2 linked regions of the Coturnix japonica genome follow. The main gene of each other region encodes a partner of the protein of the gene in region 2 in a complex. Links are inferred from orthologs where the notes say so. Each region holds a gene or a part of one and is shown on either strand. Other genes may lie near its edges.

Region 1 (7,920 bases), on a different chromosome or scaffold from region 2:
CCACACCTCCAGGCCTGGAAAGAGCGAGTTGATTTCCAAACAATGTTATTTTAAACCTTGCTAACTGCCCTTAATTGGGGAACAGCTTGGCTGTATGGTCATAGATACGTGTCAGCTACATGCTGCATACAATAAACCATCAGCACCCTGGAGGTGGGACCTGGGCTGGAACTAATGGGTCCTGCAGGGAACAACCATACGGAATGCAGGGAATTGCAGCCAGCACAGAGACTCCAGACCAACACAAAGTTTGTCACAAGCAGAAATCAGCAAACTACTCAGACCACAAAGCGAGTTACGGGGTTGGCGACACCACCTGAGTCAGCGATAACCACAGAGATGCCATAGAGAGATGCAGGCAGATCCTTCTAGAAGAGCCAAAACACAGCCGTCCCAGCAATGAGCTTCCTCAGTTAGAAGTGCAGCAGGTGATGCTCCGTGCTCCAGTCTCCCCTCTTACCCATTCCCAGGCTGCAGAGAGCTCTCCCCATGGCTGAATCACCTCTCCTCTGCTGCTCTCAGGGCTTCCTCTGCCTGATTGTTCAGCACTCCACCCTCTTCCTCTCCAACACGGAGACGGCGGGTTTTATTTTCTTGCTTATTATTTCATGGAAATAACGTCGGGTTTTAAAGCACACGAAAGAGAAAAAAAAAAACAACACAAAAACCCCAATGAAAAAAAAACCAACCCCAAAGCAGAAGGAAACTTCCGCCCTTTGCAGTGAGATAACAATGACTGAGCAGTCAGTGACTCGGAGGGCACAGCGTGCTGCGGGGTTTGCATCACTCCTCAGCCTTCCTGCGTGGTTGCAGTGAGGGTTCAGAGCTCAGTAAGTCATCTCTTGCTGCTGTGGTCCTCTCTGAGTGCTTCTCTTGCTGCACTCAGTGTGCCCAGCACAATCTCTGCCAGCAGAAGCAGCTCTCTGGCAAACCCATTTTTCTCCTTTTCCAGTGCAAGCAACTTACTTACTCTTACTCTCTTACTTACTCTTACTCTCTTACTCTTTTCCTCCGCAGTTTTGCTCCTCTGAACAGCAGTGCTGACCCAGACCCTCTGCTGACTTGAACAGGGCAATGCTTGCAGGATAAAGCAAGTGGGAAGTGATGCTGCAGGGGCAGGGCTGGAAAGGCAGCCCCCTCCCATGCCAACTGCTTCTACCTGCTGCAGCAAGGGAGGCCCTGGGAACGACACTCATGTGGCACAGCAGCCTAAAATCAGCCCCATTCATTGTGGGGATGCCGGGCAGAGACAGTGATCCAGCAGTGTAATTAGTAGTTACCGCTATAAATGTGGATGATTTCGTTTTGGAATCCCTTCTCATTTTGTCTGGGAAAACGTCTCAGTCAGAGGAGAGTGCAACCGTGCCAAGCAGCACCACAAAACCACGCTGGGAGCACTGTGGCTGCCAAGCCCATCCCCAAGGCCAGACCCCTGGAGGCTGTGGGTCTGTGCCAATGCTATGTGTGGGGTGAGGCACCCCAAAACTGCACCACTGCTCTGCCAAGGGGGGGAAGGCAGCTCTAAGGGGCTCAGGCACAGCCCTGCAGTGCTCAAATCAGTGGGAGCCCCACATCCCAGCCAGGACAAGCAAGATAAGGCACTGGGAGCTGCACACCCCACACCACTGGGAAATAATAAAGGCTTAGAGTGCTCCTCACTGCACACTGGTGGTTTCCTTTCCATAACAGGGCTGATAATGGGGGTGTGCAGTTATCAGAGCCGGCTCTGCCCCGCGCAGCCACTCGAGCAGCGTCCCGCTCGGCCGCGATTCATTTCACTCTGCTTTCTAATTGGATTTGTGGGGACGGCACAATGGGGCTTTATGGATGGAGTCAGTGAAGTGCCAGGCCGAGCAGAGAGGTGGCCAGCAGCCAGCACAGGGCATTGCATGCCGGCGCCAGGGGCAGTGCCAGCCTTCCTGCAGTGCTATCTGCGCCGCTGGCTTCGCTTTGTTTGAGGAGCTTGGAAGCGGAGCTCCTGGTGAAGAGATACTCAAACAAGTGGAAAAGAGCACTTTGCAGGCTGCTGCTGGGCACCTGGGAAAGCTGCACCTTGCCCAGCGTCCTTAATATCCCCCCCATCCAACCCCTCAGCTTACTGCAAAATGAGCTCACATAGACTTGCAAAGCTGGTGCCCGCAGCCAGGCTGTTCATAGTTCCCAGTGATAGAATTCCCCAAAGTTAACTTTATCTCCTGTAAACCCAGCAACCCGAGCTACTCTGGAGGCTTCACCCCCAAAACGGAGCTCGCACGCATCAGACCTAATTAGATTCCATCACCATCTGCACATGAAATGTAAATCAGGAGTTGCAGAGACTTAAGGGGGGGGGGGGAAGAAAAAAAAAGAAGGAAAGAATGACCACAAGGAAAAGGAGGGGTGTAAGGTTGGGGAGGGGGCGGAGGGTTGGGCATTCTGGGAAGCCATACATGATTAGTCACACAGCATTAATCTGCCTCCCTTAACAATAGCTGCCGAATTTCGACCGAATCCCAGCTGTCGTTCTTTGAATGAAAGAAAACAAGATTTAGAGCGTCACGCGTTGGTAAGGGCTTCTGTGCAGAAAAAAAAGTGGCGTGCATTCATTAGTGGCTCACAAAGGGACCCAGCCTTTGTCCATTAAATTGCTCATGTGCCTGATTGATTTGCTGATTTATTTTCACCAAAGGCTTTGGGGGGCTCCGTTTGGAGGAGGGGGGTGGGGGCTGCCCAGGCGCTGCGGGCAGAGTAACGGTACCCAGAGGCACAGAAAAGCAGCAGGCATTGTCAAGGAGAAGTGCCATTCAACAGGTCGGGGTTGGAAATGCCTTTGGGTTCCTCCGCCGAGAACTTCCTATTGGGAAACTTGGGGTGGGTGGGAACGTCTCCCAGCCCGCTCTCAGCTCAACCCGTGTTTAACAGGCAAAGGGGAAATCTGGCCGGAAAGCAGAGCCTTGCCCATTCAGATTTCTTTTATGGAATAGTTTTAAAAAGGGAACTGCACTCTTATTCATTTCTCTGGGTTATTGTTCCCTGGGAGCCCAGACTGAATCGGCCATCGCTGCGGTGGGTCGGGTGGTCCTTCAAAGGGACCCAAGGCTTTACACATCCGCTTCCCCACCATCAGCCTTGAGAACACCCCATGCCAGGAGTGGGCACGGATGGCAGCGTGGCACTGCCCCACAGACAGACACCCACACAACACAGCCACCCTTGGATGCTTATGGGAGATGCCCTGGATACTGCAGCACCAGCTGCCAGGGAATGAAGGACAACGCAATGGGGCCAGGAAGGGGGGGGGGGGTTGGAAGATAGACAGACAGCCCTCCCACCCCCCGTTGTCCCTCCCTCCTGCTCCATCAGTGGGGCACTCTGATGGGTTAACACCAGCCAAACGTGGCCCTCTGCCCATGTTTTTCCACCCAGCCAGGAACAAAGCCTGATCCTGCCAAACCCGCGGCGACTCCTACACCGGAGCAGGTTATTCTTGCCACTCAAGGAAAGAAAACGCATTTCGCCCTATTAAATCCAAAGCCTTCAAAGCAAAGTCAACAGGCACGTCAATGCTTCGGCTGAGGGAGATGGAAATCCTTCTGCTCCTCCATACTTACTGGCACACCTCCGTCCCATTGAGGAAAGTTTCACACTTGCCCCCGTTGAGGCAGGATTCAGCCAGTTGTGTACACCGCACACCTGTGAATAGAAGGAGAGCATCAGGCACAGCACAGAGCCCGGGGGTCTGCACCCCACTGCAGGGATGGCCTCACAGGGACCACGTTAATGGGCAGGACTACACTGCCCCAAGAGGAAAGGGGCGACCTAAAGTTAACCTGGGGTGGTCCTGGGGGTGGGCTCTGCCTGTTAAAGCAGGAGGGTGGATGGGGAGAAGCTCCGGGTCGGGTATTTGAGTGACAAATAGCACTTGGGAAAAACCATCTGCCTGCAGGGCCCGTGGGTCGCCACGAGCTCAGTCCCGAAATGAGTCGCTCGGCACAACTTGCTATGAGTAAAGGTTTCATTGTCTGGCCCTCGGAGCCGGATTCTGCTCAGTTACTACAGCAACTCGCTGAAAAGTACTAGAATCGCTTCCGATTTCCACCCCGCTTCACTCTTCCCCTTCTTCTGCCGCTCTCGGTGCAGTCAAAGCAGTTTCACACTGAGTGAACGCAGCGTCGCAACCCAAACCCCACCTCCCCCCGACGGCAGCGGAGCGTCCCCATCAGCCCCGGCGGACGGGCCGCGTTCTGCCCCTACAAACAGCGTCCCGAGAGGCTCCAGCTCTACTCGGTCCGTCGGGGCGGCTCCACTGCCCACCTCCCCCCTCCGGCCCCGACGGCAGCTCCGCACGTTGCGGCCCCGCACACGGATCCGCCCCGGGGCCGATGCCGGGGAGGAGGTGGAGGGAGGGAAGGGGGGGGGGGGGGGGGGAGGGGGGGGGGGGAGTTAAGGAAGGGGGGCCGAGGGGCACCCGGTTGACTTTCAAGAAACAGGAAACCGAGAAAAAATTTGCAAAACGGTCAAAAAACTCTCGCGGAACAACAACACGAGAGCGGCCAATGCGTGAGACTCCGTGGAGCCGAACCCCGTCCCGAGCTCCGGGACACACACAGCACTCGGGGCCGAGCACAGGGACACCCCCGCAGTGCTCAGTACCGAGCTCCGAGACCCCTCACAACCCTCAGAACCGAACACCGCGACCCCCACCGCCCTTAACACCGAGTTCTGGGCACCCCCGACGGCCGGTACCGCGACCCCGAGCGGTACCGGTAGCTCTGCCCGCCCGCAGCCCCGACGGCTCCGCTCCCCGCGGAATCCCCGCTGCACCGATCCCGGTTCCCCCCCGTCGGTTCCGGCCGCCCGGGCCCCGCGGTGCCGAACTCCAAAGTTCCGTCCCCGTTTCTCAGCCCGCTCCGCTCCCCCCGCTGCACTCCCGAGTTCCGGACCCTCCCGGCGGCTCCACGCTCCGCTTCCCTCGGACCCCCCGCCGCCTCCGATGGAAGCACCGCCTCGCCCCGCCGCTCCGAGCCGAGCTGCCGGCAAACTTCGTGCCGGAGCCGGGCCGGGGCCCTCACCTCGCGTCGGAGCGGGCAGCAGGGCCAGCAGGAGCCCGGTGGCCAAGAGCCGTTTCATCCCTCTGTGTTCCCACCGCTCACAGCCGCATAGATCCGGAGGCCGCCGGCCGAACCGGCTCGAACCGAGCGGAACCGAACGGAACCGGAGCCGTGCGGCGCGAGCCGGGAGCCCCGAACACACCGCGCCCCAAACGCCGAGAGAAACGACTCCGAGCGCCGGCGCCTCCCGCGGCCGCTCAGCCCCCGCGGGCCGGGCCGGGCCGGGCGGAGGGCGGAGGGGGGGCGGGACGGAGCGGGGCGGGACGGCGAGGAGCGGAGCGGGATGGGACGGAGCGGGACGCCCCTCCCTGCACGGCGTGGGGGGCAGCGCTGGGAGCCCACCCTGAGCCCACCCTCCCCACGGCCACAAAGCAGCTCCGGACGCTGCAGTGCGGTCGTCCCCGCGGCTCCGGTGCGGTCCCGGATAGTTCTGTATACACATCCATGGCTCCTTGCAGCTCCGAGCGCTGCTTTGCAGCCCCTGGGTAGTCCCGGTGCAGCTCTGACACACTTATGGAGCCCCTCCGTGTACCCCTCACAATCAGCCCTGGACCCGCTATACAGCCCCTCCGTGTAACTCCTGTATAGACCCCAAACAGCTTCGGGCTCTCCAAGCAGCCCCAGACACCCTAGTGCAGCGACCATGTAGCTCCCCCCATGCAGTCCCTGCATACCCCCGGTGCAACCCATCCCCTCAGTCCCAGTAGAGCCCCCCACCCCTGTGCAGCCCCATCCCAGGCCCTTACACAACTCCCTACAGCTCTGGTTCAGCCCCCCCTGCCCAGTGGGTCGCAGCTGCTGCTCAGGACCCCAACTGGGGTGAGATTCCCCCCAACACAGTGCACCACACCACTGACCCAGTGCAGGGGTGCTGCTGTGTTGCCCTGTGAGCTCCTGCACTCAGGGCAGAGCCCAGCCCATGTGCTGCAGCAGCAAACAAACAAACAAATGCACGAGGGGAGACGAGCAGCCAACCCTGCCATGCAGCCCTATGAGCTCCGGTCTGTGTGCAGGTCCCATTGCCCCCACCTCCAGCATCCAACACTGCCCTGGATCCTTCAGGATGGGAGTATGGGCACGTCCCACCCAAAACCCAATTGCGTTCTGGGCCTGGGGGCAGCCCCCTGTGCTGCCAGCACTGCTCCCCCCCACGGGGTCACCCCATGCAGTGTGCATGATTCCCATCGCATCTCAGCAGTGGCAGCAAATTGGAACCAGGCTTTGACTTGAGCAACCAGAATCGAGGCTTGAAACTCCTGTTTGTGTGTGGGGATGTGTGGGACGCCAAGTACTAGAAGAAGAAGAAGCAGAGGGGTCGGTGCTGGGCTGATGGTGAGGTGCTGTCCCACCTGTGCCCCCCCTCTCTCCTCCCCTATTGAAGGGCACCCCCACGCCAGCACTGTGTTCATCCCAGCCCATGCCATGGTGTTATCCCACTGCTTCCTGCTGTAAATTATTTCCAGAGCAAGTGTGAAACGATTAAACAAACCGAAGGGCAGAGTCTGCTCATTAGATCAAAGCCACAAGCCCTGCAGCGTTCCCTCGTTCTGCTCCTTCCCCTTCTTCCCACATGAGAACAGGCCGGGCTCTGGGGTGCCCACTGGGGGCTGTGGGGGGGTGTGTGGGGCCATGGGGGCTGGGTGATGATGCTGGGAGCTGTGTAGGACTTCAGAGCGTCCCAGGGCCACGCATTTTGCTTTGCTGCACTGCTGCAGGACGGGGGCAGGGTAAGCAGATGCCAAACAGTGCAGGAATTTGCTGTAGTGCCCACCTGCACAGACCTTTTGCACCTTTGGGAAGTGGGTGCCCCCATCTCACCCCCTGCAGTGGCTGTGCAGTGGGATGCAGCCCTTACCCCTGCTCTAGCCAAGCGATATCTCTGTGCCAACAGACTGTGCCAATTCCATTGGTGATGTGAAGTGGCCCCTGGAGGTTCCACCACCCTTTGGTGATGGGGATCTGTGCCCTGCTCCCCCATCTCACCCCTTTCTCCCTCCTGCTGCACTAACCTTGCTTTGCCCGGGCTTGTTCTCCTCACACAGAACCTCTCACTGTGCTGTGCTTCATTCCTTACATATACAGAAATGCCCACGGGCAGGTGGCCACTGTGGTCCCCACTGTGCCATGTGCCAAACTGGGAACAGTGGGGAGGTGGCACTGGCCTCTGTGCATGGATGGAGTGGCAGCACCGGGTGCCTTGGGGTGATGGCACAGGACAGGACCCAACCCAGGCCATCATCCCAAGCTGCCCAGTGCAGACCCAGAGCATTCAGACCCAGTCTGAATACATGCAGTTTTGTGGCCCTGGTGCCTTTCTGTGCCAGCTCCAGCTGCACCCTGAGCCATCTCTGTGCTGCCCCATTGCCAACCCACCGCTCCTGCAGGGACTCCTGCAGCAGAGAGGAAAGAAGGATGAAGGAAGGAGGCAGAACCCCACACACCTATTTTTGCACTGGGAGGTGGATGTGACATCAACCCAGAGCAAGTCTCAGTTGGAGCAGTTTTAGGGGTTAAATGCAACAGGGGGGTTTCAGTGCCTTTTAAAACCAACGTTCATAAAAGCCTTTAATAGAAACCTTGGCTCTCATCCATGTGATTAGTGATGTAAAAAAAAAATAACCCGAAACCTCCGCACATGTTTCAAAGTTTTAATAAGTCCAAATTAAACGAGCGAAACTCTGGGAAGATTCTTTTCTTCTTCTTTTTTTTTATGTTACTGCAAGCTAAGAAAATTACATCCACAGAGCAAAAACGGCGTGCAAACACCAACAGGTAACGCACATCTGTACATCATTTTCATGTCTCCAGGGGCTGGAAAAAACAAACCCCG
Region 2 (7,919 bases):
TGTTCATGCACAGGAAAAGGAGGCTTGGGGGAATCTAAATGCTGCCTTTTGCAATCTAATAGTAGCATGCAGAGAAGAGAGAGGCAGACTCTTCAAAAGTGTCCTGAGATAGACTAACTGGAAACAGATTATTATTACAAATAAAGAAATTCCAGTTTAATACTGGGAAACATGTTTTTATGTTCTGACACAGAGCGTGTGCCCAGAGGGACCACTGACATCCTGTTCTTGAGAATGCTCAGAACTGGATGGGACACAACAACAAACCAAGCGCTTGAATATTAGTCCTTGCAATGCTGCACTGAAATTCTAGAGATAGTTTTAGGATGCCTGGGGATTAGGCAAAGGTTACAAATCATATTAGAGTTCAGGCGAATACCTGGGTTTAGAGTAATTTAGCAGAAACAGAACAGGGCCTGAGCAAGCAAGAACAAATTATTTATTGCTTCTTTTTGCATCTTATGGTCTGCTGAGCTTCAGCCAAGTACAGGGTCATGATCAGGACTGTAGAATTTGGGCATACTAGGCATATACTAAAGCACAGCAGGATTTCATGAAGCTAGAGTTGTAAGGGTATTTCATTGGCAATGATAAGACACTATCCTACAATTAGATTTAACAATGGAAAAGCAAGAAAATGTGCAAGGGGGCTTTCCAGTGTGAGAACAGGGAACCAGAAAGCAAATGTGTGTGTGTGTCTGGCTCCATGTGTGTGCACATTTGGAAATGGAAAGAAGAATCCACAGGAAAGGGGTTCACAGTAGACAGCGTTTGTAAGGGAAACTGTTGATCACAGTCTGAACCTCTGATTAACCATCTGAGGCAAGTGACGACTCAGCTGTGGGAGCACAGGTGAAGGTAATTCAGCTGTGCTCCCGGATGGGGTGGAGCTTGACTCCACCTCTCCTAGATCCCATTTAAGGGCTGACCACCACTAAGGTAGCATCTCTTTCTGGAGTTCTTGTGGTGAGCCTCAACATTGGTGAGCATCCATCTCAACTGAAAACCTCAGCACTGGTGAGTCTTTTTCTTAGATACCCTCTGGCTATTTACTCTTTAATTACATCTATAGACTTGTATTATTCCAACTAGACAATGTTAATACGGGGAAAAAAAAAAAGAAACACTTATCTGTGGTACGAAACAGAGAACTGAAATATTCATATTGACTGAGCTGGCTGATGATGAAAAATCCTTAACAGTGCTGACAAGCTATGGCTGCAATTTTAACAGAGGCATTGTAGCACATCACAGTGATATTGGCACATATCCCATCCAGCTGTGCATCATTCCACTGTGGTAGAGGTACTCTTTTTGACTTGGAAGAGGAGCTAATGAGGAGAAAAGCTGTTCTATTAAATGAATCTGCAAGTCTGTCTACTAGAAAAATTGAAGTAGAAAGAAGAAAAAAGAACAGTTTTGACACACAGGAAAGCTGTGGGGAACCATCCTCAAACATATGTCAGCAAGAGAAAGGAGGACATGCACGTTTCAGAAATGCTTTTAAAAGTGTGCATACCTTACTGAAAGAGAAGACTGGGATAATGGGTTTCATCCACTTGGGGACCTGGGGGTAGTCTCTCACGTTTATCACCATTTCCATATCAGGGAGGCGGTTGATGATCCCATGAATGAAATGCTCAACTCCACTGCATCTGTGGAGAAATGACACATCTCATAAAGAGCCATAAGGATAAGGAAGAATCCTGGAGTATGTTGCAGATATCTCTATGCATAGGAGCAGAAGAAACAGAAAGCCGTAGCACAGGCTGCAACTGCCCATAGCAGCCTTTAAGTCTCACTGCAGACACCAGTGAAGCAACACATTCTGTTAAACCTGACTTGATCTGCATATTTCTCTGGGATCCCACAATCAACTAGCCTTCTTATACAGAAGTGCAACAGTGATTCTTATTTCTTGCCTATGTTTAATCCTCATATATAATTTCCTAGGCTCCTGTCCTGATAAGGAATCCAGACCTTAAAATGACATACCATTGTGCTCAATGACTTCCAATTCATCAGGGTTAGAAGTACTGGAAGTATTCCTATGTGCCAGGTATGGAAGCAGGATCTTCTGTGTGGCTCTTACCTTGCAGGGAACATGCAGTCATGTTCACGGTACAGCTTGTTCTTAATGATTTGGTAGTGTGTTCCAAGCTTCCGGCTTACCACATCTGATATTGTCTCCTTGGAAATGCCACTTCGAAAAGGAGCCAGGTCCTGTTTCCAGACACTGAAACAAAACAATTAGCCATCATTAGGTACATTGGGGGATGCTGCACATTAAAGTACTGCAGCATACAGAAAAGGTTTCTAGTTACAACAAACTTTATGTGGCTTCCAGCTCTGCTACACATGGCATAACAGAGGATTCAACTTAAGTCAACTGAAACAGCCACTACTCTGAGACTCCAAAGTCCCAGCTTTGCTCTGTGATGATCTATGTGCTGTTTGCCTGAACAGAAAACCCAGCACCGGACTCTCAAACTAAATCAATGTGGTTCACTGCAGTTATTCTTCCAAAAAACAAATAGGCATTAAACACCCTGACAGGTTATGGATAAAAGCTTTCAGTTCACTTAAACTTTGAGTTCTGAAGCTTGTGTTCTGGATTTCCAATAATGGTGGGCTACACCAAGACCAAATTCCTCACTAAATGTCAATTTTAAAATTTATAAAAAAAGTAAGTAACAGTCTAGTCACAAGGATTACTGGGTAATGCTGCATACAGTAAAAGCTAGTCCAGGAGAACAAGCCTATATAGACTGTATTCTGTGATATCTGCATGTCATTGGTGAGCTCCTAGAATATAGTAGAAATAGAAAATAGAAAACATAAACCTAACCGATATGTTAAAATACAGACAGAGAATGCAGTTTATATATAGTCTAAAGACCCCCAGATCCAACTGCTTGGAGCAGTTAACAATTGTTCTCAGACGGTAACAGCCATGGAGAGTTCCCCTCTACTTTTTAGTAGACATTGCATCAATGGCCTGGTTTAATGCACAGACCCATCTGAAGGGGATGAACCAAATGTGTGAGTGATAAAACACTGGCACAGACTGCCCAGAGAAGTAGTGGGGTCTCTGGTCTGACTGGACACCATCCTGTCCATTTGCTTTAGGTGGCCCTGCTTGAACAGGGAGGTTGGATTTCTTGATCTCAAAAGGTCCCCTCCGAGGTCAATGATTCTGTTATTCTGTATCAGACAGAAAAATGTAAACTACATCAAGAATTGCTACAGTACAGATAGGTTGACAAAGTATATAAGCAGGGATGCAAATGTAACAAGCTGGAGAACGGGAAGAAAGAGTTTTATAGCGCATCCACGTTGCTGTTTGCTACCTTTCTATTGTCAATAACAGGCTAGAATTTTCAGTTCTTGGCCACCCAGAGAAAATCTGACACAAGTAAAATCCATTATCTAAGGAAAGGGACTGGCTTTCACTATTCTGCTGCACATTTGCATCTCTCCAGATCAGCTATCAAAATGAGCTGAGTTTCTTAGTGTCATACAGTGTAGGTACTGTATTATCTTTCTGGACTCTTTAGTAATGTCTGTCACTATGGTATACAAGTGTTCCACAAGTTAGCAAGTACCACATAGCATCATGCCAAATAAATCCATGTTCTGTAATTATCCTTCTTAATCCTCTTTTAAATATTTACATATATTTATTTCCCTCAGTTTTAAAAGTCCATCAGATAAACCTGTTAGCAACAAATATTGTACAGAGGGTGAATGCAGAGTGGATTTCTAATACAGAAATATCACCAGCTGTGTATGGAATTATTGTGTGATTACGTATGAGATGCTGACTCAGTTTATGTTGTTCAGTCACAGAGGACAACAAGCACGGTGGTCAATCTGCAGGTGGACACAACTCATGCTGGAACTATGAAAGTTTCACACAATGCCATTAATAAACTCCTTGTAAGCACTGCAACCTATGTTGGCTGCAGATGTGCTACATTAGAGCACACATATTCTACAGCTAACTCCCATCTATCAGTGCTGTGATCATGACCATAGCCCTGTTCAGTAAAAAGGAAACTAATCTCTTACCTTTGGTAGCAGCTACAATTCTCCTTTACGCATGGCTTATAGACTTCTACAGCTCTGTTAATTTGATCTGTTATTGCTTTCCATTTGGCATCTAAAATACACAGAAAGGAAAAGTGAAAGGCATTAATTCATTAAACAACCAGAGCAATCAGCAGAAGCTGAGCAGCACTTCTCCAGCTGGCAGCAGGGCAATAGCGACGCACCACGATCCTGGGACACACTTCAGCCCACACAGCTGAACTAGAGCACGGCTGACACTGACCATTCCCCTGCTGACAGAACCCTGACCCTTCAACCCATAACTGCTCCACTGACGCTGCCTACTGAGCAGTGACATCGGTTCCTTTAGCACAGCCTTGCTGCCTGCAGGCTGTTAAACCAAACCGGGCTCCCTGAGCGCACATTAGAGAACCACAACTGTTGCACTGCACTAGTTGCATCCCGCTATGTAACTACAAGGAACTGCATGGACTTTATCTCTGAAATGACTCTATTGCTACAGTTAAGTGATGAAAGCACCGCCGGGACACCCAGGTGAGGACTGAGGGGAGGGCTGGGCCTGGCAGCCCCTCCTTCCTACATGTGCTGGGCCGCCCTATAAAAGGCAACTAGGGAGAGCCGCTCTCTTCCCCGTGGTGTTCCCCACGGCCCGTCTCTTTCACTCACCTTCTGACCCACCATCCGCCGCTCCCGAAGGCCACACAGCAACGGCGGCCAGCAGCCCCCACAGCGCCGCCCGCTCCATGCTGCTGCCTGCGCGCCTGGCCGCCGGGGGGCGGTGACTCCCTGAGCAAAGATGGCGGCCCCGCAAAGATGGCGGCGGGAGGGGAGGGGTGCGTGCTGCTGAGCGGATGGATGGGAGCTGTAGTTCCCGCCGCTGCACCTCTAGAAAGGTTGGGTGTAAGCAAACGCTGTCCTGTATGAATTTGATTCCTGTATGAATTTGATCTTCTTAAGGTAGAGTGTGGAACAGCCCGCCTGCTCTTCATGGGATCTGTGTATATATGTGGTCTTAAGCTGTCTTTCCTAGTCCAGATCTGCTTTTGCTGCTCTTGGATCCCAGGGAGAGGTGCTGTGGCCTCACTGCCGTGGGGAGGAGCCGTTACATTGAGAGTCATGGACCTACTGGAGCGAATCCAGGGCAGAGCCACAAAGAGGGTCCCAGGGATGGAGCCCCTCCCCTATGAGGGCAGGCTGAGACCTGGGGCTGTTCAGCCTCAAGAAGAGAAGGCTGCGGGGAGACCTGAGAGCAGCCTTTCAACGTCTAAAGGTAGACTGTAAGAAGGAAGGGGACAGGCTATTTAATAGGGCTTTTGCTGTTAGGACAAGGGGAAATGGTTTCAAACAAAAAGATTTAGACTGGATACCAGGAAGATGTTTATTACAGTAACAACAGTGAGGCACTGTAACAGGTTGCCCAGAGAGGTGGTGGGTGCCCCATCTCTGGAGACACCCAAAGTCAGGCTGGACAGGGCTCAGAGCACCTGATGGAGCTGCGGTGCCCCTGTTCATTGCAGGGGAAGTTGGACTGTGTGGCCTTTAAGGTTTGTTCCATCTCAAGCAATTGTATACTTACATTTAAATTAAACTGGTATCTATAGCATAAAGGCTGAGTGATTAGCCACAGGAGCCAACACCTAAACTTACAAAGGCCTCATCTGCATGAGACTGTAAGGGCTGTAGGTACCTGTAGGTTATACTAAAGAAATAGTTACTTAACAGCAGGCCAATGGTGAAAAGCACATGCTGAGGAAGAGTGTGAGGGTTTCCTAAGGGTTGAAAATTGTGGAGGATAGTAGTTCTTCTGAATGTAATCGAGCTGATAAACTTGGGTGCTATGCGTAGGCTGAATCTGTGGAAGGCCAGAAGTAGATGCTAATATCAGGAGTAGATTTTGTGACTGGAGGGCAGGGGTTCCCACGTACAAAGACTAGAGGTGTATATGTGCAACCCTTGAAATAAATTACCTTGAAGGGCTTTTTGAACACCGACTTTGAAGCTGCTAGGGTCAGCACAGCCTTCTGAATGTACAGCTGGAGTTGTCCTCTGACTGAACTACAGAGGAGTGAGTGAATTACGCGGTTTCTGTTACTGGTAGTAACAGCTTCATAGAATGAAAAGAATGAGTAGCTGTGCCTCATCCCAAACTCATGTTGTCCAGGCAAAGAATTTTTGAGCAAATCAGGGAAGTAATTACTTCTTTCCAGATTATGCCAGAAACTTTCTGTCTTTTTGTGCAGAATCTCCTTCCATTTTCTTCCACTGACCCTTCTAGAGCTGTGGTTATCAAACATCCATACTAGAGGCTAGTCTGAAGATTCCCCAAAAAGTGTGAACAGAAGATAGCTTAAAGAAAACCTGTCGTATTTTCTTCCTTCTGTCCTAGCTTGCTGAATAGAGTCATTAGCATTGTTGTTCCAACACTGTTTCTGGCTGTTTCTCACAGCTCCCCACTAGTCTGTTCCACAGCTGGTAGAACTGTTGTAGTTTGCTCTGTAGCAAAGGTTATTTCGGGTGCTTTCTCTGAGGCAAAGAGTAGGAGTGGTAGTCAACATAAATGTTTAATAGGCCCTGAGAGCTAAGACTTCAAGATGAAGCTCCTTTTGAAGCTACATTTACGGTCTCTGCTCTCCCAGGCTTTGTGTAATGAAAGCACCTCAGGCCAATATGGTGTGGTTTTGGCATGTGCTGTAGTTTCCCCCAAGCACCTTGGATGGTTGTAGACCTTAGAACCCCTCGACTCTCACTTCAAACACACCCTTTGCCTCACCTTCTCTACCTTCTTAATTTCCTACAAGTCCAGAGCTCTGAGAAGGAGCATCTGGCTCTGATCTTTGATACCTTCCCTCAATCACATTCCCTCCCTCAGTTTTTCTCTGCCAAATCAAGTGCAAACACCCACAAATTTACTTTCATCATGTTCCATGTGCCTGGAGTGGAAAACCACTTGGCTGTAATTCTGGTGTCCTTGCTTTACATATTCAGCATAGGTTAAAAGAAGGCTGCTTGGGAAAGGAATAGTTCTCTAAGCTGGTTATAAGGTTGATCTAAAGAAAATGTTTTCTAGATCTTGAATTTCTCTCAGAGCTATAATCTGGCTCTTCTTGCTACTTTTTGCTTGTGTAAGGGTTCTGGTAGGGGACTTTCTCCCTTAGTTCATCCTTTTATGCTAAATGAAAGTACTGGGTTTTGTGAATTCATTGAGTAATGGACTGGAAGGGAGGAAGGAAGCCACCTCTACAGGTGGCTGAGGTTCAACACTTGTGGTTGATGTTGATGCTTGCGGGGCTGGGCCCAAGCTTTCCCTTAGTAAGGGACATGGCTTTTAGGAAGCTACTCATGAAGCTTATTTTTGCTCTGGCTCTAAGCTGTGTCCTCTAACACTACACCTCGTGGAGATGTTGGACTCTCATTGGTATGGTTCAGGAAATTTGGTTGCATCTGCAGTACCTGGCTTGGGGATGTTTGCTATTGAATATTCTGTTGCTTTATGCAAAGGAGGCTAATTACAGCAGTTGGAGCACAGCGTGAGAAGCATGCCAGAGTGAGAGCCAGTAAAGGCTGGAGTCTTCAACCTAAGACTGAAAAATGCTCTTGCAGTTCTATAGGGCACTTGGAACTACTGAATTGGGTTGGGCAAAACAAGTGCAGGAGAACCCAGAGTTCAGTCCTGATGACACACAGAATCTGCCAGAAAAGGGAATCATTAACTCAGCCCTCAGCTAGCCAAGGGATTAAGTCATCCTTGCGTGAACAGCCAACAAGAAGATGTACAGACCCATAATGGTAAATCTGGTAGATTCAGCAGGTGCTGGATCTCTTGCTTCATCGAGGGGATGCATTCAATA

What was found.
Region 1: the proteins of POGLUT1 (region 2) and NOTCH1 are in contact, whole or in part, in a crystal structure (PDB 5UB5), measured with the Homo sapiens proteins. The link is inferred for Coturnix japonica from reciprocal best matches to the Homo sapiens genes POGLUT1 and NOTCH1. Residues at the interface, in NP_689518.1 of Homo sapiens: Met103, Phe104, Pro105, Ser106, Arg107, Asp133, Gly170, Pro171, Ala172, Val173, Trp174, Pro178, Thr179, Gly180, Thr214, Asn239, Gln240, Ala241, Val274; in NP_060087.3 of Homo sapiens: Asn454, Glu455, Cys456, Val457, Asn459, Pro460, Cys461, Gln462, Asn463, Asp464, Ala465, Cys467, Gly472, Glu473, Phe474, Val485, His486.

What each region holds. Positions count from the first base shown.
Region 1 is NC_029532.1:6,302,180-6,310,099, reverse strand, and holds the start of NOTCH1 (neurogenic locus notch homolog protein 1), read right to left. Parts: upstream 5,317-7,920; 5' UTR 5,110-5,316; coding exon 5,052-5,109; intron 3,673-5,051; coding exon 3,591-3,672; intron 1-3,590. UniProt on the Homo sapiens protein: Functions as a receptor for membrane-bound ligands Jagged-1 (JAG1), Jagged-2 (JAG2) and Delta-1 (DLL1) to regulate cell-fate determination.
Region 2 is NC_029516.1:82,806,208-82,814,126, forward strand, and holds the start of POGLUT1 (protein O-glucosyltransferase 1), read right to left. Parts: upstream 4,944-7,919; 5' UTR 4,817-4,943; coding exon 4,738-4,816; intron 4,606-4,737; exon of another isoform or gene 4,163-4,605; coding exon 4,072-4,162; intron 2,237-4,071; coding exon 2,093-2,236; intron 1,656-2,092; coding exon 1,520-1,655; intron 1-1,519. UniProt on the Homo sapiens protein: Dual specificity glycosyltransferase that catalyzes the transfer of glucose and xylose from UDP-glucose and UDP-xylose, respectively, to a serine residue found in the consensus sequence of C-X-S-X-P-C.